Oryzias latipes: one gene and its partners. The protein of the gene in region 3 interacts with the protein of the main gene of each other region in a pairwise test. Links are inferred from orthologs where the notes say so. Each region holds a gene or a part of one and is shown on either strand. Other genes may lie near its edges.

Region 1 (5,511 bases), on a different chromosome or scaffold from region 3:
AACTTTGTGCAGTCGGGTCCATTTGGGTTCGAATAACGATCCGGCCCCTCCCTCTGTGTTCACAGGCGCTCTACAAGCTCTACAACGTGGCGGCCAATCACAGACACCTGTACCACCACGCCTTCCCGGGACCTCGAGCGGACGAGGAAGCAGAGCAGGAGAAGAAGAGCGACTGACGAAGACCGCAGGGACTGAACTGGTGATGAAGAGGAGGACAGAGGCGGAGGAGCACCCTTGATCCAGACTCCGGCCGGCGCCGCTCCCCGGGAGCGTCTTGGCGTCCAGCTCGGCTGGAGGAGCTCCAGCCTCCTCCTCCTCGCCGCTTCTCTGAGAGCCGCTTGCGTCCGTTGATGTGTCGTGGTGCGCCGCTGCCGCATGCGCGTCCAGCTCCTCATGTTGTGTTAATGGTTGTGACAAAGTGCTGTTGTGCCGTATCGTCCTGCCGCTCCTGCACGGCTGCAGCTTTACGCCCGGACCGGCGGGGCGGAGGAATGCCGCCGCCGCCGCTCCGGATCCCTCGGATCATCGGTGAGCTGCAGGAAGACGGGCCGGACGCCGCAGAAACGTCCCACCGCCTCATCTTCTCCACTCATCACATGAACGCTCTCAGAGAAACCGCCATCGGACCAAAAACCCAGCAGAACCGCCGCGTCCGTCCACTCATTCATGCGCATCACTCGCCATCGTGACCACGGTTCTGATGAAAAGTCTCCGTCTTTAGATCTGAAGGAAAAAGACTTTTTTACAGGTTTGGACGTCTTTGGGTTTGTTTTTCGTTTTTTTAAACTTTGAGTTTTATTTTGAAACATCTAAATGTGACAAATATGTACAAACGCAGAAATGTTTGTTTTGCTGATGAAGTAAACGTTTATCCCTCCGTCACCGCAGACGTTACCGCTTCTGAAGGTTATTCATAGGAGCAGGCTGGACGCTCCCGCACAGGTACAGGGTTTCAGGCGTGTTCGAGTCCTGACTCCGACAGAGCAGCGGAGGTTTTCATTTGGACCAGTCCACAAAAATTCATTAAAAATCCAGAAAAAAAATGCTGAATTGCACATATTTGGTGAGATTCAAACGTTCTAGTAGCTTATGGTTCAGGAAAACGGGTTTTTCGAGCGAGCGCCAACGCAGAGCGGCGTCCATCAATGGCAGCCGAGCTTCGGAGGATTGTCGGGTGAGGCGTGCAGGAACGGCGAAACGTTGGGGTTTGGGTCGGAGCAGAACCCACACTTTAAAGCTGCAGCTCTCTGACTGTTGCCCAGCAAAGAGCTCCTCTGTTTGAGGCGTGTGGGGCCGCCCCTCTTCCCGTCCATGCTTTGGATCAAGCGAAGGCACAGATGGGTTTTCTAAAATGAACTCTGAGGTCGTCACATGTTGGCCACAAAGTTCTTGCTGTACCACTGCTGTCGCTGTGAGCGGGCGTCCGCCTCGGACAGCAGCGCCCGGCGGTACGCCTCGTAGGACTTGACGATGTGCTCCAGCTCCTTCATGAAGAGCAGCTTCAGCATTCCCTGATACGTGTCCAGGTCGGCCAGCTGGAACAGCTCCCACTTCAGGATGTGGTCGTACCTGAGGAGCAGACGGGTCTCAGAAAGGTCTTCAACAGCCTGCAGAGGGCGGGAATCGAACCTCTCTCCAGTTCAAACAGACAAACCAACAACTCTCTGGATGGAGGTTTCTCAGAAACCAGTTCTGGTCCGACTCACTTGAGCGGGGCGCGGGCGTACACCTGCAGCCAGTCTGGGATCTCGGCCGTGTGGTACGGGTTGGCCGGTACCAGGACCGGCTGGTTCCTCTCTGCCGGGCGGGGCTGGTAGGTGACAGGCGGGGGCAGGGGTGGCGGCTGGTCGTAGCGCGGCACGCTGGACCATGGATTCATGAGAACAGAACAAACCAGTTTCTATAAGAATATCAGTCTTACGGGTTCAAACTACAGACGCTACACAACGCTGAGCAACATGCTAACACGAACAACATGCTAACAACATGAACAATACGCTAGCATAGATAACAAGCTAACATAGACAAGAGGCTAACATAGACAACATGTTAACACAACACGCTAACATAGATAACATGCTAATATGAACAACATGCTAACATGAACGACACGCTAACATAGACAACACGCTAACATGAACAACACGCTAACATGGATAACAAGCTAACATAGACAACATGCTAACATGAACAACACGGTAACATAGATAACATGCTAATATGAACAACATGCTAACATGAACGACACGCTAACATAGACAACACGCTAACATGAAGGACACGCTAACATAGTAAACACGCTAACATGAACAACACGCTAACATAGATAACAAGCTAACATAGACAACATGCTAACACAAAAAATACGCTAACATGAACAAAACGCTAACGTAGCTAAAACCAGTCAGGTTTCACAATAAAATGGTAAAACAGCAGCATAATGAATACAAATAATACTAAATTATTAAGAGAAAAACACTTAAAATGGCTGAATGAGTAAGAGTTATAAAGATCTTCAAAGGATAAATATAATTAGTAACTAAATAACAAATGGGATAATAGTTTAAAAAAACTGTTATTAATGAAAAAGTTCAATCAGCTAAATACCAACATAAAGATGGATTTACAGAAATCTCAGATTTCTCAGAAAAGTTGAAGCTCAATATCGTCTGAAATTAGATGAAAAAAGATGTGCAGCACAGATAAATATGCCAAACACAAAAAGGCTGGAATCTCTTTTACGAAACCAACAAAAATGTTAAAAACATTTTTCGTTAAAAAGCTTTTTACTAAAAGTTGAATGAGCTGAAAAGGCTGAACTGCAGAATGACGGCGTTCGGATCGGAGCTGATTTTCAACCTGAAGGTTTTCTGAGCATCAAATGAGGCTTTTTAGGAGGAAAAAATGTCTGTTTACGCCTTAAAGCTACGCCATCATCCATGGTTATGGGGGGGTCTATATATTTATATATACATAATTCACTGTTGTTGTGAATTTAGGCTACACTAATAAAATGTAATTGTTTCACTTTTAATGTTTTGATATTAATGTAAACATTTATACTTGTGGTGTTTAAATGTTGAAATAAGCCCTGAAACCGGGGCGTTAGCAGACCTGGGGGCACACGGGTGTCGGTACTGCGCCCTCTTGTTGACGTGGTCCACATAGTAGACCCCGAACTCGGCGGACTCCACCTTCTCCCAGCCCGGGGGGAGCCCCTCCCTCTCCAGGGGGTGGCTCCAGTGGGTGGTGTTGGTGTTGTGGTCGATGAAGTACTTCCTGCCGCGGATGGTCCAGTCCACCGTCCAACCGGCTGGGAGGGGGAGGTCCTCCCCCGCCAGGCTGGACAGGTTCCCCAGAGACTTGGCCTGGATCTGGCTGATGCCTGAAGGAAACAGAGAAACATCGGGAAAACCGGGAGACTCCGGGGAAAACCGGAATGTTTTCTCTGTGTGGGAAAGAGGCGGCGGGTCTGCGGGACGAACGGAAGGAAGCGGGAGCGCCGAGGACAGGAAGCTCTCTGCTCCACCAGGGAGAGCTCCGTCAACACTTCCTGGAGCGCTCCCGGTGAAGGTCGGCGAGGAATGCGGGTCCGACAGCTGCAGGCGAGCGAGGGGAGGGGCTTCCCGCCTAAACGCCGGCTGGAGTTAGACACATTCTGCGGCAGAAGGAATGCGGTCTCCTCCTTCACCTCCTCATCGTCATTCCTGACCTTTTCCACAGAAAGATCCAGACGCCCCGCAGGAATTTGATACGAGAAGACGCCCGAAGGAGCAAATGTTTAAGAGTCACCGACATGGAAACGGGTTTCCCAAACGCAGACTAAAGTTCTACGACGAATGAAGACGTCCAGACGGGAAAAAAGATGAGAGTCTGAGTTTGATGTGGTGAAGGAACCACCAGGAACCGCTTTAACCACGGGTCAAACATCAGCATGTGCTCCGTGTGGTGACCTTTAACCTCCGGTGAGGGGGAGCAACACGAGGGGGAAGCAAACGGTCCAGAAAGCTTTGAATAAACACCAGGTTTTCCGCTTGAGACCTACTGCAGATCTATGACCTACAGATCTATGACGATTCAGCTGAGGATCATAGACCCGCAGAATCTAGATCAGTGGATCATAGACCCGCAGAATCTAGATCAGTGGATCATAGACCCGCAGAATCTAGATCAGTGGATCATAGACCCGCAGAATCTAGATCAGTGGATCATAGACCCACAGAATCTAGATCAGTGGATCATAGACCCACAGAATCTAGATCAGTGGATCATAGACCCACAGAATGTAGATCAGTGGATCATAGACCCACAGAATCTAGATCAGTGGATCATAGACCCACAGAATGTAGATCAGTGGATCATAGACCCACAGAATGTAGATCAGTGGATCATAGACCCACAGAATCTAGATCAGTGGATCATAGACCCACAGAATGTAGATCAGTGGATCATAGACCCACAGAATCTAGAACAGTGGATCATAGACCCGCAGAATCTAGATCAGTGGATCATAGACCCGCAGAATCTAGATCAGTGGAGCATAGACCCGCAGAATCTAGATCAGTGGATCATAGACCCACAGAATGTAGATCAGTGGATCATAGACCCACAGAATCTAGATCAGTGGATCATAGACCCACAGAATGTAGATCAGTGGATCATAGACACATAGAATCTAGATCAGTGGATCATAGAGCCACAGAATGTAGATCAGTGGATCATAGACCCGAATAATGTAGATCAGTGGATCATAGACCCACAGAATGTAGATCAGTGGATCAGCGGGTCTTCCAAAGAGAATAGATCTATAGATCAGACATCAATGGAACATAGATCAAGGGATTATAGATCTGTGGTACACACATTATAGAATCAGTGGATCGCAGATCTGTAAATTATAGATCAGCAGGTCTTCCTCGACAAAAAATCAAAGATCCGTTGATCTATTTTTTTTGTTATTTTTTATTTTGCTTACTGTTGTTCATTTTTGTTTCTCAGCGTTTTATGTGGCGCCGCAGTCTAGTCTGTAATGTCTGTCTGTTCACCGGCAATGACAATAAAAACCCCCTTCAATCATTGACCATAGATGTGTAATCATAGATCGGTGGATTATAGATCGGTAAATCATAGATCTGTAGAACATAGATTTGTGGATCATAGATCTGTAGAACATAGATATGTGGATCGTAGATCTGTGGATCATGGATTTGTGGATCATCCATCAGAGGATCTATGTCAGATCTATGATCGTTGACTCAAAGATGTTTTTAAAAGATGATCTCATCTTTTCAGGTAAAACCTGCAGTAGAAACCATCAGCTCTTCATTCTTATCTTCACATCTTGATTCTACAACACTTTTCAATCTATCCCAACACCGTTTACCTGAGGGGGGGCGGCTCGGGGCTGGGGGCGTGTGCTGGCGGGGATGTCTCATGAAGTTGTGTTCGCCGGGTTCAAAGTATCTGTAGTCGTCGGGAAAGCGCTCTGCCGCCCTTCGGGGTCGCTGCTGC
Region 2 (6,320 bases), about 4.9 Mb from region 3:
GTTACATACAAAGAACAATTGCCAAAGGCTCCCTGCTCCGCTCTATTCCAATGCATCAACAGACAAATAGATCCATGTACGTCTTGGATAAATGGCTGAAAACTGTCCAGCTGGATGTAGGCCTGCACAATAAATCGCAGATTTATAGTTAAAAATTGTGATTAATCTGCTATTGAATGATTTTCAATCCAAGTTAAAAACTCACTTTTTCTCCCTGGCTTTTAACTCAGTGAGAGTGGATGTATTAATTGGTTTTATTTATTTTTTATTGAATTTATGCTGTTTGTTTTAGTTTGTTGTTTTGTGTTTACCCTGCGTTGTTAAGCACTTTGGTCAGCTTTAAATAAAGTTGACTTGACTTGCTAAAACAATCTTGAAAGCAGCTTGAAGTATTTAGTGAATCCAATAAATCCCTTTAAGCATTTGACCAATCGGATGGACTCCTTCACGTTGTCGACCAATCGGATGGAGCCCCTTTGTTAGATGCTCGCCTCCTATGCAGAGGGTCATTCAGAGTATAATTTAAGTTATGTTGACTCTTATTTAAACTAAACTGTAGCAGTGAAAAGGATAATATATATTTATTCATATATCGCCAGTTATATCGTCATCCCAATGTTGATTATTAACATCGCAAATCGCGAGTTTTCCTTATATTATCCCTAGCTGGATAGCTCCAATATTGCTCGCCATTTTTTTTTGCACCGGTAATATTGGGTGTGAGGGACTGTAAGCTAGCAGGATAACGTGTAAACAGAGGGATGATGGGAAATGAGGGTAGCCTTACGCCTCGCCAACAGTTCCACCCACACCTTAGAGGTGAATTTCTACTGAACTCCTGCCGCTCTGCAGAAACTATGTCCTGGAAAACAACACAGTTTTTTGTTTTGTTTTGGCAGAAAACAACGTAACCTGAATAAAAAGACCACTGGGAAAGATTTGAAAATAGATCAAAAAATGATTGGAGTCTGACTTTAAATGGAGCTTTTATGTGGAGCTAAATCACAATTAGGACTAGACTGTATAGAAAAAACGCTTTAGGGAGTGTGATGGAGTAAACGTTTCTGCTTATTTGCAAAGGAGGAGGTGGTGGGTTTGTGCTCCTAAAGAGGAGATAAGGAAAATGCTAAAGGGTTGAAATGAGAAAAAGAGATTAGGTGACCTCTAACCTCATACCGACCGCACACACTGCCCCCCCTCACCCCTCGTCAGAAAGCAGCTGATACCACATCAACTAAAAGATTGATGAACCGTGTGTCCGAACAGATGCTGCCGCCGCCGCTGCTGCTACACGACTTTTGATCCAATGCAGTCAAGACTTTACGGGTTGCGTCTGCATTTCACCTTTGATTCAGTGCCAGAGTTAATGCATGCTTCTCACCTCCGTCAGTGCAATCACTCGGGGAGTGAGCAGGGGGTGGGATGCTCCCAACACCCACCCACACACACACACACCCACACACACATGCACACAGAAGACATATTTTCTCCTGACTTCAAGTCAATAAAACCTGGTCAGTGTGCTGATTGTGAGTGCCGCTGCAGCAGGGACCAAAGAGGATCAATTTTTGCTGAGGCAAACACAAAGTAACAATAAAACGAAAAAAGCATGCATAAAACGAGGGAGACGAGGCTGCGGGAAATGATTTGAGACTGGCGCTGCATTCATGTCACATGTCAACCGTGTTTGCTGAATTCCCCTCATTTTCTCCATCTGCATTGTAATGGATTATGTCATTTGTTTGGAGGGAAATAATGACAAATGTGTTTGGGATGCGGTTGTTTCATCATTGCCTTTTTGCTTGTAGATTGTGCTCATTTGCATCAATATGTCAATACTGAAGACAACAAACGGCTCCATAAACAGCTAGCTTGTAACCCGGCTGCATGTCTGTGACTGTGGATGGAAGCGGATATGAATTTCTGTATTTTTAAAAGCTAACCTTCTTTTCTCAGTATATGGTTTTAAGTATGGATGTAAATATTTGCACAGACAATAGAACAATAAAAGACATGAACCTCCATCATCTCCCTCTTCACTTGTCATGAGTAGCATGTCGCAGAGCAGACTGTCAGTGCATTCATACTATCTGCAAGCGTAGTACTACTTATGGCCGACTACCAGCTCCTCTCATTCAGTCTAATCTGGCCGGCGGTGAGGAATATCTGCCAACGCGCTGCTGCAGGCTTGAGTGGGTTGTGCAGGACCACAGTGTGTGGGAGGAGAGCTTTCCACAAAGAGAGCTGCTGTGCTGAGAGGCTGCATCTTCACTGTACTGACCCACAATGCAACAGTGGAACAACATGAGCAAAACCTCACACCGTTTTTCATGAAAATCTGAGATAAAGTAGTTTGGGTTTTATTGAAAGTGTGGATTCTTTATTGCAGAGAATAAAATGAACCAGAATAATAAATGTTTTCCGTCTATTTTAAAAACCCAGGCATGAGAGGACTTTATGATTCAACGTCGAGTACAAATAAAAAACAGGTGAAAAAGAGAAGAAAAATAAAAGAGAGGGGGTGATAAATGGATATACGGAGGAGAGGGGGAGGAGGATGCTGAGCCCCAGGAGTAAAAAAAAAAAAAAAAAAAAAAAAAAAAAAAAATCACAAGAGGAAAATAAAAAGATGCAAAAATACAAAGCTAAGCAGAAGAAATGATTACCGATGATGGTCACATCTTTAGAAGGACAGATGATGGATGCAGGTTGAAAATAATCATGACCTAATTCTTTGTCATCTTCACATCTTCTCCACCACCGTCTCTCTCTCTCTCACTCTCTGCTCTCAAAAAGGCTTTTAATCTGAAAGTTCGTACCTTATGGTGAGGTCTGGTGCAAAGGTTTGTGGGAGACCGAGTTTCTCCTGGTTGTCTGTCTCTCTGGTTGCAATCAAGCTGGACCTGGCTCTCACACTCCAGGTGGCAGGTGTAGCTGCAGTCTGATGAACACAAACACACATCAGGTCAAAGGTGAGATTAGGCACAAGGATGACTCAGATAACAGTCAAATTATGAGAAATTTAGTGATTTATATTTCAGCAGATGGCATTCCTGAAGGAGCCGGCCATGATCATTCAGTGTCTGTCAAAGTTTTTTTGTTTTGTTTTGAAATGACAAAGATCTAAAGGCTTAAAGTATTTGAAGCAAGAAAATAGCTCCATCTAGTGGCTAAATTCAGACTCACATGCAGAAGAGTTGGCAAAACCCTAACATCTTTTTAAATGTAGTGATTTGGGTTGACTTAAAAAAAATACTATCTATCTATCTATTTATCTATGATGCAGATTTATGACCTGATGCAGAAAACCCCCCGAAATGAATACTCCTACAGAGAGCTGAGTTGTGTTTATCTTTTGTTGGTTTATGAACTAAAAAAAAATACCCAACCCATAAATACACAAAAGACTGCTTCCCTCCCTCAAAAGTTCCAAAATGGTCCTTTGTTGTTCTGTACTTTCAGCTGGTTCTCTACATGTCAGTGCGTCTGCCTCCTCTCTGTTGTGGTCGCAGCGAGAAAGCGTGGCCTTTAATCTCACTTCTCTTCAGTGGGGGAAACCATTTGAACCAAAAAAAAAAACAAATCTAAAAGCTGAGTAAGAAAGTCTGAGTCAGTCAGACCGACCGACCGCAGACAGAAAGAGTTTTCTAAACGTTCCGACAGAAACAAAAGACTCCCCCATGGTTGATGTGTGTGCTGTTGGTTGTGATAAGCATGGCTGTTTGAAGATTTATCTTTTAGGAAGGAGGACATTGCTGGTCTCACACTCAGCATCAGCACTATCACCATGGCAACAAGTTATGGAGTTAATTCAGTCTCAATAATCAGAAATGCACACAACCGGTTTTACAAATGCACACGCTCCGATTCACAAATGTCATTTTATGCAAACGTGAAAAATAAATTCGGAAATACACACCCTGTGTTTCACAAACACACAGATTGTGTTTCACACATGCACACTAAATGTTTTACAAATGCACAATAAGTGTTTCTCACAAATGTGCACACTGTTTTTCACAAAAACATTTTAGAAATTCACAATAAATGTATCAGAAATGCACAGTAGGTGCTTCACAAACGTGATTTTTAGGTACACATGTGATGTGAACTCACAGATCATTCGAATTGCAGACTGTGCATTCAAAATCCCGTTCTCGTTTGTGAATCTCCCCGTGTGTGTGAGAGATTTTTCTACGGTGAATATTGAGACTCATCTGACGGAGCGGGTCAACTAATGTCACCATTGGCTAGTGAATCTGTCAATCAAACTCATCGGGAAAGCAGGCGGGTTCGCTTTTAACCAATCGAATGGTCCCTTACACTCCTCACTTTCAAAGTGACGAGGGAGGGAGCTGTTCAGCACAGCAGTTGAAAGGACGCGGGCGGCAAACATGGCGGAGAGGTCTTCTGAACGGGATCAGTCTCAGCCCGTAAGTAATGCATTTATTTGATCATTCCCTCGTCGTACGTCCTGTAATGCTATTGAATACTAAGTTGAAGCGTTCTCCTTTGCCAAGTGACATGTGTGAATGCTTTATGAACACTGCAGCCGAGTCGTTTGCAGAGTACCCCCACCGCAAATTAGCTCAGCTTTGTTTTGCTTAGCCTGTGCAAGTTGTGTCTGCCTGTGAGAGTGAGTGAAGTTCAAGCCGGTGTCGGTTCAAGCTAGCGTCTATAGCCAATGATCTGTAGGTTCTTAACATGATTCAGATAGAACTAAGGGGAAAAGCATGCCGGATTTACAGCAGCAAAGAAAGTTTAATAAAAAGTATTGATTTGGAGACGGCGATTTGTTTAAACACTGATGCTATGCTATGCTAACTAGCTAGTTGTTCCATGTGCTGCCTTTATGTAAACGCGATCCGGGTTAAAGTTAGACACAGCATTTTCACAACCCAGACTTTAAGACGGGGTCGACTGTGCAAAGAAGTTAATTCATGTGACAATCATGAAAACGGCATTTTTTAAATATAACAGACATGAATCCACTGTTGAATGAAAGAAGCCTCATTAAGTTTCTAACGTTAGAACCCGTATTCATTGTGATGACCAGCCCTGTGAGATTGTGTCAGAGTGACAGCCACTAAAATCCCCGTATCTCTTTACTTCCAATGACGTAATGACAAGAATCCCAAACATTATGTTTTTAGGCTGTTTTGTAGTCAATAAGTAGTCACAGAAAGGGTGGATGGGAGAAATCAGCTGTCAACAGTGATTAGAGTAGAAGTTACTGTAAGTATTACTCACAGGCTTCCTGTGATCAGTGTCTTGTCTCTGATTTTTTTTTAAAGGTGTTCTTTACTACAAGCTCAAGTTATCATAGCAAGAGTGTTTTAAAAAATTCCCCTTTCATATATTTGAAAATTATGTAATTTAAGATCAGACAGCTAAATGATCTAATCCATGTTTGTTGTGTTTTTATTTATTCTCTAGGAATTACTGAAGCGTGACAGCGTGACAATCTTTTGTTCCTCGTGCCATCAGGCAATACAACTCTCTGGCAGGGCATCTTACAAGTAATTTCTTTTAATTTTACCCACTGATTTTCCAATTATTTACCTTTTTTTATCAATCTTTTTATTTTGTGATATTTCTATTTGTAATGCATGTGTGTTTATGTGTTTTTTTAAGATGGCCATTTAAAAAAAAATTCCTCAGGGATTATTAAATACCCTTCTATTCTATTCTATTTCATATTTTATCATCCTATTGTATTACTGTTTTACCTGTCAATTGGGAATTTAGCATTTTTGCCGCTGTAAATATCTGTCAGTTGAAATTATTTGTACTTGTATTCCATAGATCTTGTACCTGAGAAGATAGCAGACAACAACTGTGCAGACTTGGCCTTCTTCAGTGACGCTGTGAACGTTTATGGCTTTCCTCTGAGGTATTCATGTTATTCATAAAGAAATATTTTATTCACATATCAGGCAGTATAAGTACTTGGTTATTTGTACAAAAATAAAATAACTTTTTTTAGACTCCTCTCCATAAACAAAGGCAACTCTAAAACTTTCCCCTCATGAATAACATTTACCCCCCCCCTTAACAGTCTCTCTCACCTCATTTTTTTCCCCAGTGATACATGTAACCCACTCCTGCAATTTTTTTAACCTAGAAATTCTACTTATTGGCAACGTACATAAGAACATTACATTTTAAACTGATGTGTACCGTATTGGCGATGCATTTGTAATTATGTGTTTGAGACATGATTTTCATGTTATTGTCAGGGTGAGAGGAGATCACGGAGGAGAAATGTGGGCATAGCCGAGTTAATGCTCACAGTACGTACAACTGACACAAACGGCTTC
Region 3 (6,320 bases):
AAGTCTCTGAAGTTTTCAGACCACAGATCCGGGTTCCTAAAGGTTGGAGGCGGGTTGGTGGGAATCATAAAGATCGCCTGCAGGAGGAAACAAAGTGAACAGCTCACATAGGGAGGAACAGAAATCCTATCAAAATGTGTTTCCGTACATTGGGACTGGAAGAGTCGCCGTCTGCTGTCACAGAGCTTTTCAGTAAGAACTCACCCTCATGGGGTGTATGTCAGCATATGGCGGCTTGCCCTCCGCCATCTCTATAGCTGTGATTCCCAGGGACCAGATATCTGCCACACAGTTGTAACCAATCTCCTGTATGACCTCTGGAGCCATCCAGAACGGCGTGCCGATCACGGTGTTTCGCTTTGCCATGGTGTCCTGAGGAGAGGAGCTTTGGTGTTTAGTTACGTGGCTGAAGGATTTCAGGCCTCAGCTTTGACAGATCCTGCCTGTCCGTGCTGTCTGCAGCTTTCAGTCATCTTCATTAGTGTTTCTACCAGGTTGAATGAAGAGAACTCCATAAGAGGTCTGCTCCTCACCGTTAGCTGCCCAGCAACTCCAAAGTCGGCCAGTTTGGCCTGGCCCTCGGCGTTCAGCAGGATGTTCCCCGCTTTGATGTCTCTGTGGATCTTCCTCATGAAGTGGAGGTACTCCAGCCCTTTCAGGGTGGAGTGCACCACAGTGGCGATCTCCTCTTCTGAAAGCTTCACAGCACAAGAAGCGATGAGGAGGATGAAGGACACAGCCTTGTGTTCGGCAGGGCTGCTATCACCAATAACTTCCTGAATCGATTCCACTCACGATTTTTTCAATCCACTCCATTCGATTCCATTTTAAATTTAAACAGTTTAGACATTTAGACAGGTTAGCCTACAAATATAATAATCTATATTTGTTTTGAAGATATTTACATGAACCTGATACATTTCACCAAATGTATTGGTGAAATGATAAACATCATACAGCGTTACATGAATTCTCCAAAGGTGAAGCTCCAACATTATGGTCTGCCTCTCCTGGAGGGGGTTTCAGTTTGGCCCCTAGGTGGCACTAGCGCTACAACATTACACTTTAATCCTACAAAAACCGTGCTTTAGACCACAAATGGTTACTTTAAAGAAAACAGTTTCCTCAGTTAACGCCTGCGTGTTTATCAAGCTGTTCATTTAGTCAGCCATGTATATGTAGGACGACCGAGCGTTAGCCGTCCTATGGGAAATTCCATTATAGGTTAGCTTTAAGCTAACAGACTTTGACTTTTGCTGCTGTTATGTGTTGGATCACGGAAAAAGAAAAGCATAAAAGATTGATCTCTACTCTTATGGATCGATTATTTATTATTAAGCTTGGATCGATTCAGATCGATTAATCAAATTGATCAACTCAGGCCTAGTGTTCAGCTCAGTTACTTCCTTTGCTCTTTTATATGCTCTGACATGAAAGGAGTCAAAATAAGCGGGAGACGAATGAAAGCTTGTTAAATTACCGGTAGTACAATTATTGTCTCTGACCATTGCCCTGCTTTTTAACAGTTCATATAGACAGAAAAAAGAGAAATACTTAACTTAATACTTAATAATACTTAAGTATTATTAAGTATTAATACTTAATACTTAATACTTTGTGGGGGTTGACGTTAGGACTGGTAACTACGGAAACTGTGAAGGAACAAATGAAAACCACAATTAAAAGATTCATTAAAGGAAACCAGAAATGAGAAGTTAACCCCAAAAAGCAGAGCTAAAAGCAGGTTTGAGAGGAAATATAATTGCTATTGCATCTGCACAAAATAAGAAAAAAAAGGATAAGTACAACCAGGAAGTGGCAATCAGAAATGATTTAGAAAAGCAGCACAAGCAAAGTCCCTCCCAAACTATCCAACAACAAATTCAAACAGAAATAAATGATATTCTAATGAAATCATTAGCAAGACGACTAAGAAAACAACCTAATGACTCAATAAGCAGCATCAGAAATCCTAAAACAGACACATTAACAGAAGATCAAGAGGAAGTATTAATTATTTTCTACAAAGATTTATATTCTAGCAAGTGTAGACAACAGCTTTCTTCACTTGATCTACCATAAATAGGAGAAGTGCAAAACAAGGAATTACAATAAGAAATTAAGAAAGTAGAAATGAGATATGCCATTGGAAAACTACAGACCTGCAAGGCACCAGGTAGTGAGAACGTATAGGGTATAAGTTTGAAAGTGACCCATCACCTTTACTCCTGTCATGCCTTATTGGACGGTAAAAGAAGGATGTTCAGAAGATCGTGGTTCAGTTTTCATAAACAAACCAAAAACACAGACTAGATTCAATATTCTCTGAGTCGATATGAGAATCCTGGAGCAGATTTAGTTATGGTTGTTTCCATAGCGATGTCCTGTTCGTGACAAGATCAAGAGATTTGAGGATTTTCATTTAATAGATGCTTCAACTTTGCTTGAGCAGAAAAACCAAAGTCCCATTGAAGCCTGGGGGGGGGGGGGGGGGTCAAACGGATGGGTGTGTCCATGTTTGAACAGTGTGTGCCTCAGTGTGTATTGCGTTACCGTCTTGTTGCGTATCCGGATGATATCGGAGACGGACCCGGCTCCGCAGTATTCCATGACGATCCACAGGTCGCTGTTCTTAAAGTAGCTGCCGTAGTATCGCACTACATGAGGGCTGAAAACACAGCTTTCTGTTCACTAAAGTCATGTGTTACCGTTACACGTTACTCTGTGCGGAAATCATGTTAGGCCTTTCTAATCAGTCATTGAGTCAAATCTTTATTTTACGTGTTCCGTGTGGGTCATAAATGACTTCCTGTCTTTGGATTCTCTGGATGTGGAAAAACAACAGTGGTGAACTTTAGGAAACTAACATGTGAATGGATTTGACATTCATTCTAGTTTACTTGTTGGTTTGGACACAGATTTCATTAACTTGATGATCTGGAAGAAATCCAAGAATCTGGAAAACTGTTCAGTAGCAGGAATTTCTGTCTGAGTCTCACTGCTGGAAGTTTGGATGAAGAGGATCTGGATTCACTTTAGGACAGAGAGTTGGATTGAATTGGATCTTTCTAAATGAACAAATATCTACTAGGGATCAGATCATCAGCCACAAATTAAGATGTGAATCAAACTGCTGTTAAACTGAATCATAACACCTGGTATTCTTGATCATTATTCATCATTTAGTTCTCCATGCCTCTGTTTGGTGCAGTGATTCATGTATTGTCCCTCTTTCCCCTCCTGGGGAGTGGGAGTGCTTCCAGACTCCAGTTGGTTCATCCATGCTCCTGTTCCTGACCGAGTACCTCGTCTCTTGCTCCTGCTCCTACACCTGGCTGTGGTTCCTGTCTCTGGCTCGACTCGCGCCCCTGACTGTCCCCCCAACTTCAACTGAATGAAGCTCGTCTGCTGGACTTTATATATGTAGTTGTAGATTTAGATAAGTTAATTCTTCTCTATGTCACAAACAGAATCCGTCATCTGTCTGTGGTCTGTCTCTCTGAACACTTTCAAATGTGGACTCAAACGTCCAGAAAGGCTTCAGTGTTAGAAACACAGATTTGGTGTGTCTGGTGTTTGTGCGTCTACTGTTGGGTTTCTGCAGTGCAGACTGTGCTGCTATATGGAGACATTGTAAAAAAATGTGTTTTTGCTCAGGCTGCCTCAGAAAAGCAGATGTGGCTTCTTCTGGCCACAGAACACAAACCTGTTGCACTGCTGCATGATGGAGATCTCCTTGATGATCTCTTGGAGATCAGACTCTACAGGAACCTGCTTGATGGCAACAATCTCTCCGGTTTCTTTATAGTTGGCCTTAAACACACAACCGTACGACCTGCAGGGACAGAAGTTCAGTCAAACTCTGACGGCGTCACGTTTTCACTCAGATGGATTTCTGACTACGTCTCCATTGAGGGTGCAACGATTCATCAACTTAATCCATTAATATTCCTACAATCCAATCGAGTTCATCTGCCTGAGGAAATTGAATCGACCAATACAATTAAAAGAATCCTTTCAAAATAAATGAAATTGATTATAAATCGACATTAGAAAATACCATTTAGATTAAGGTACAGTTGGTTTATGTGACTCTAAGGTAAAAACGACCAAGGGCAGGGATGTCCAGTTTAGTTTAGTCAGTTTGTTAGTTCATTTAAGTAATTTTCTATTGAACTCTATGTATTCATGATCCTTTTTGATTGAATGTTTAACTTACGATTACCGGCACGAAGCCCATTGAGACGTCTGTTGTTGTGAATTTGCGCTATAGAAATAAAATTGAATTGAATTGGTTACTACGGAAGTTGAAGAACGTTGAATTGATCCCAAACGTCTGGGAGGATCTATTAGACAAAGAAAGACTTTCTGCAAGACACCAAAGTCAGGAACTATTCTGGAAACAGGATTTTGTTTATTTCGCTCAGAAATCAATGTCAACATGGATGCCATGAAGCAGGAGAATATCTTTAAATAAATGTGAGTCTGAGAGCGTTGGTGTGGTTCACACCCAGCTGGTTTTGTGTGGTCAGCTCATAACATCAGAAGCCCCTGTAGGACCGTTCTGCCTCCTTCACCAACGACAGGAAATACAGAAAACTGATCTACAGTCTGCTGAAAATTAGCTTCCATGGAAAAAGGATGAATATGGAGTCTCTGCAGCAGCTGACGACACACACGCTGTCAATCAGCCACTCAGAACAGGAAGAGCGTTGAGAAACAGGAAATGAAGATGCATGGGGGGGGTGATGAATGAATGGGCAGAAACACAGACAGACGCTTGCATAATGAGATTAAAGTTGAAATGTATGAAATGAAAAACACACATTCAAAAGACGGCTTTGGTCGTGAGCATCACTCTGGCTTTGACTGAAGGACTCACCCTTCTCCCAGCTTCTCCAGGACATCGAACACTTCCTCCGGCTGTTTGGTCAGGCTGTCCTCGCTCAGCTTCTTCAGCTGCCTGCAAGAACACCAGGATGTTGGTAAAGACGCGTGCCGGAGTCCAGCAACGGAGCCGACGTGCCACCGCTGCAGAAGAAGGCTCTCGCTTCCTCAAGAGTTCAAGGCTTCTGCTGAAGCTTTGCTTTAATAACAGAAAATCTGTAACCAAGACCTTCAGACAGAAACTAAGAACAAATCTTCTAAAACGTAGATTACTTGTCAAAAAGTGAGTTACTTTTAAAACATTGAAGCTTATTGTTATATTTAAATAGTTCTAAGATCTAAATGTGTTTTTCTGCTGAGTTTTATTCATTCCTTGTATTTTTTTTACTTTTACTATCAAAAGTTTTAAGTTTAATAAAGATTAAAATGTCAGAAAAACTGTTTTATGTTGGAATAAATCATTTTTGTTGATCTTCGTGAGAAAAAGCCTCTGAAAGCCCCATCTGAGCCACTTCTTCTGTGAAGAACTCCAAAAGCTCTTTTCAAATTTGAAGTCTGGAGACAAAATATCTTCAGACATAAATACATCGATCTGCTTTTTGGAGAACTGCAGGAAGGCAGCGGTCAAAATCTCCAGACGTCATAGTCCGGCTGCAGCTCTGTGACCTGAGAAGGTGCAGGTGCTGCCAGAGCTCTGCACAGGTAACCGCCCCCCCGTCAGGTGTGTCTGAGGCTAACGAGTGCTTTTAGGCTAGCTGGATGTAAAAGTGGAACCCGAGTGCTGCTTCGGTTTCTCAACATTTTCTCTGAAAAACATCACTTCACCAAACAGAAGAATTAAATGTTACATGAGGGCAGCGCTGCTGTCTTTTTTCTTGAATCTCCCATGAAGTTAGTTTTCAGGTCTCTAATAAATGATGAACTTTGACTTTAGAGTAAAAATCTGACCTGAGATCTGTTCCGAAGAGACAAACTAGACCAGTGAAAATACAAACTCTCCAAAAATGTGGTCAACATCACCTGATTCACGATGATCCAGTATTCACAAGGTTTGTTTTTTTCCATTAAATCCTCATTTCAAAGGTGCACTTGTGTTGAATAATATCACTTACAGTTATAAAAGTGAAATACCAACAAAATAAGAGAAGCTACAAGTGTTGAAAAAATACTTTTAGACCACTTCTTAAACTGTGAATGTGATGGTTTGAAGTTATTCTTTGTGTTTAGCAGAGGGGAAACTGTGTAAATGATGCAACAAAGTTAGTATGACGTTGTGAACTACAGCCGAGATGTGGTCCTGAAACGTAGCACATCCCATAATCAGTCCACAGCGCTGTATTCTATTGCAAACAAAGAGAGCTGCTTTTACGATAGAATGGATCTTCATTTTTCTTCGTTTAAAAAAAGCCAGTAATGCGCTCAGGAATCAACTA

What was found.
Region 1: the proteins of serine/threonine-protein kinase 4 (region 3) and sav1 interact in binary tests that used the Homo sapiens proteins (3 or more experiments, as listed by UniProt). The link is inferred for Oryzias latipes from reciprocal best matches to the Homo sapiens genes STK4 and SAV1.
Region 2: the proteins of serine/threonine-protein kinase 4 (region 3) and rassf5 interact in binary tests that used the Homo sapiens proteins (3 or more experiments, as listed by UniProt). The link is inferred for Oryzias latipes from reciprocal best matches to the Homo sapiens genes STK4 and RASSF5.

Annotation. Positions count from the first base shown.
Region 1 is NC_019880.2:1,308,465-1,313,975, reverse strand, and holds part of sav1 (protein salvador homolog 1), read right to left. Parts: coding exon 5,384-5,511; intron 3,386-5,383; coding exon 3,115-3,385; intron 1,863-3,114; coding exon 1,707-1,862; intron 1,570-1,706; coding exon 1,368-1,569; 3' UTR 177-1,367; coding exon of another isoform or gene 66-176; 3' UTR 1-65. Other genes in the region: atl1 (atlastin-1), read left to right, coding at 66-176. UniProt on the Homo sapiens protein: Regulator of STK3/MST2 and STK4/MST1 in the Hippo signaling pathway which plays a pivotal role in organ size control and tumor suppression by restricting proliferation and promoting apoptosis.
Region 2 is NC_019863.2:28,024,483-28,030,802, forward strand, and holds part of rassf5 (ras association domain-containing protein 5), read right to left. Parts: intron 2,942-6,320; coding exon 2,820-2,941; intron 1-2,819. UniProt on the Homo sapiens protein: Potential tumor suppressor. Seems to be involved in lymphocyte adhesion by linking RAP1A activation upon T-cell receptor or chemokine stimulation to integrin activation.
Region 3 is NC_019863.2:32,922,618-32,928,937, reverse strand, and holds part of serine/threonine-protein kinase 4, read right to left. Parts: intron 4,964-6,320; coding exon 4,883-4,963; intron 3,836-4,882; coding exon 3,707-3,835; intron 2,669-3,706; coding exon 2,554-2,668; intron 699-2,553; coding exon 534-698; intron 373-533; coding exon 205-372; intron 78-204; coding exon 1-77. UniProt on the Homo sapiens protein: Stress-activated, pro-apoptotic kinase which, following caspase-cleavage, enters the nucleus and induces chromatin condensation followed by internucleosomal DNA fragmentation.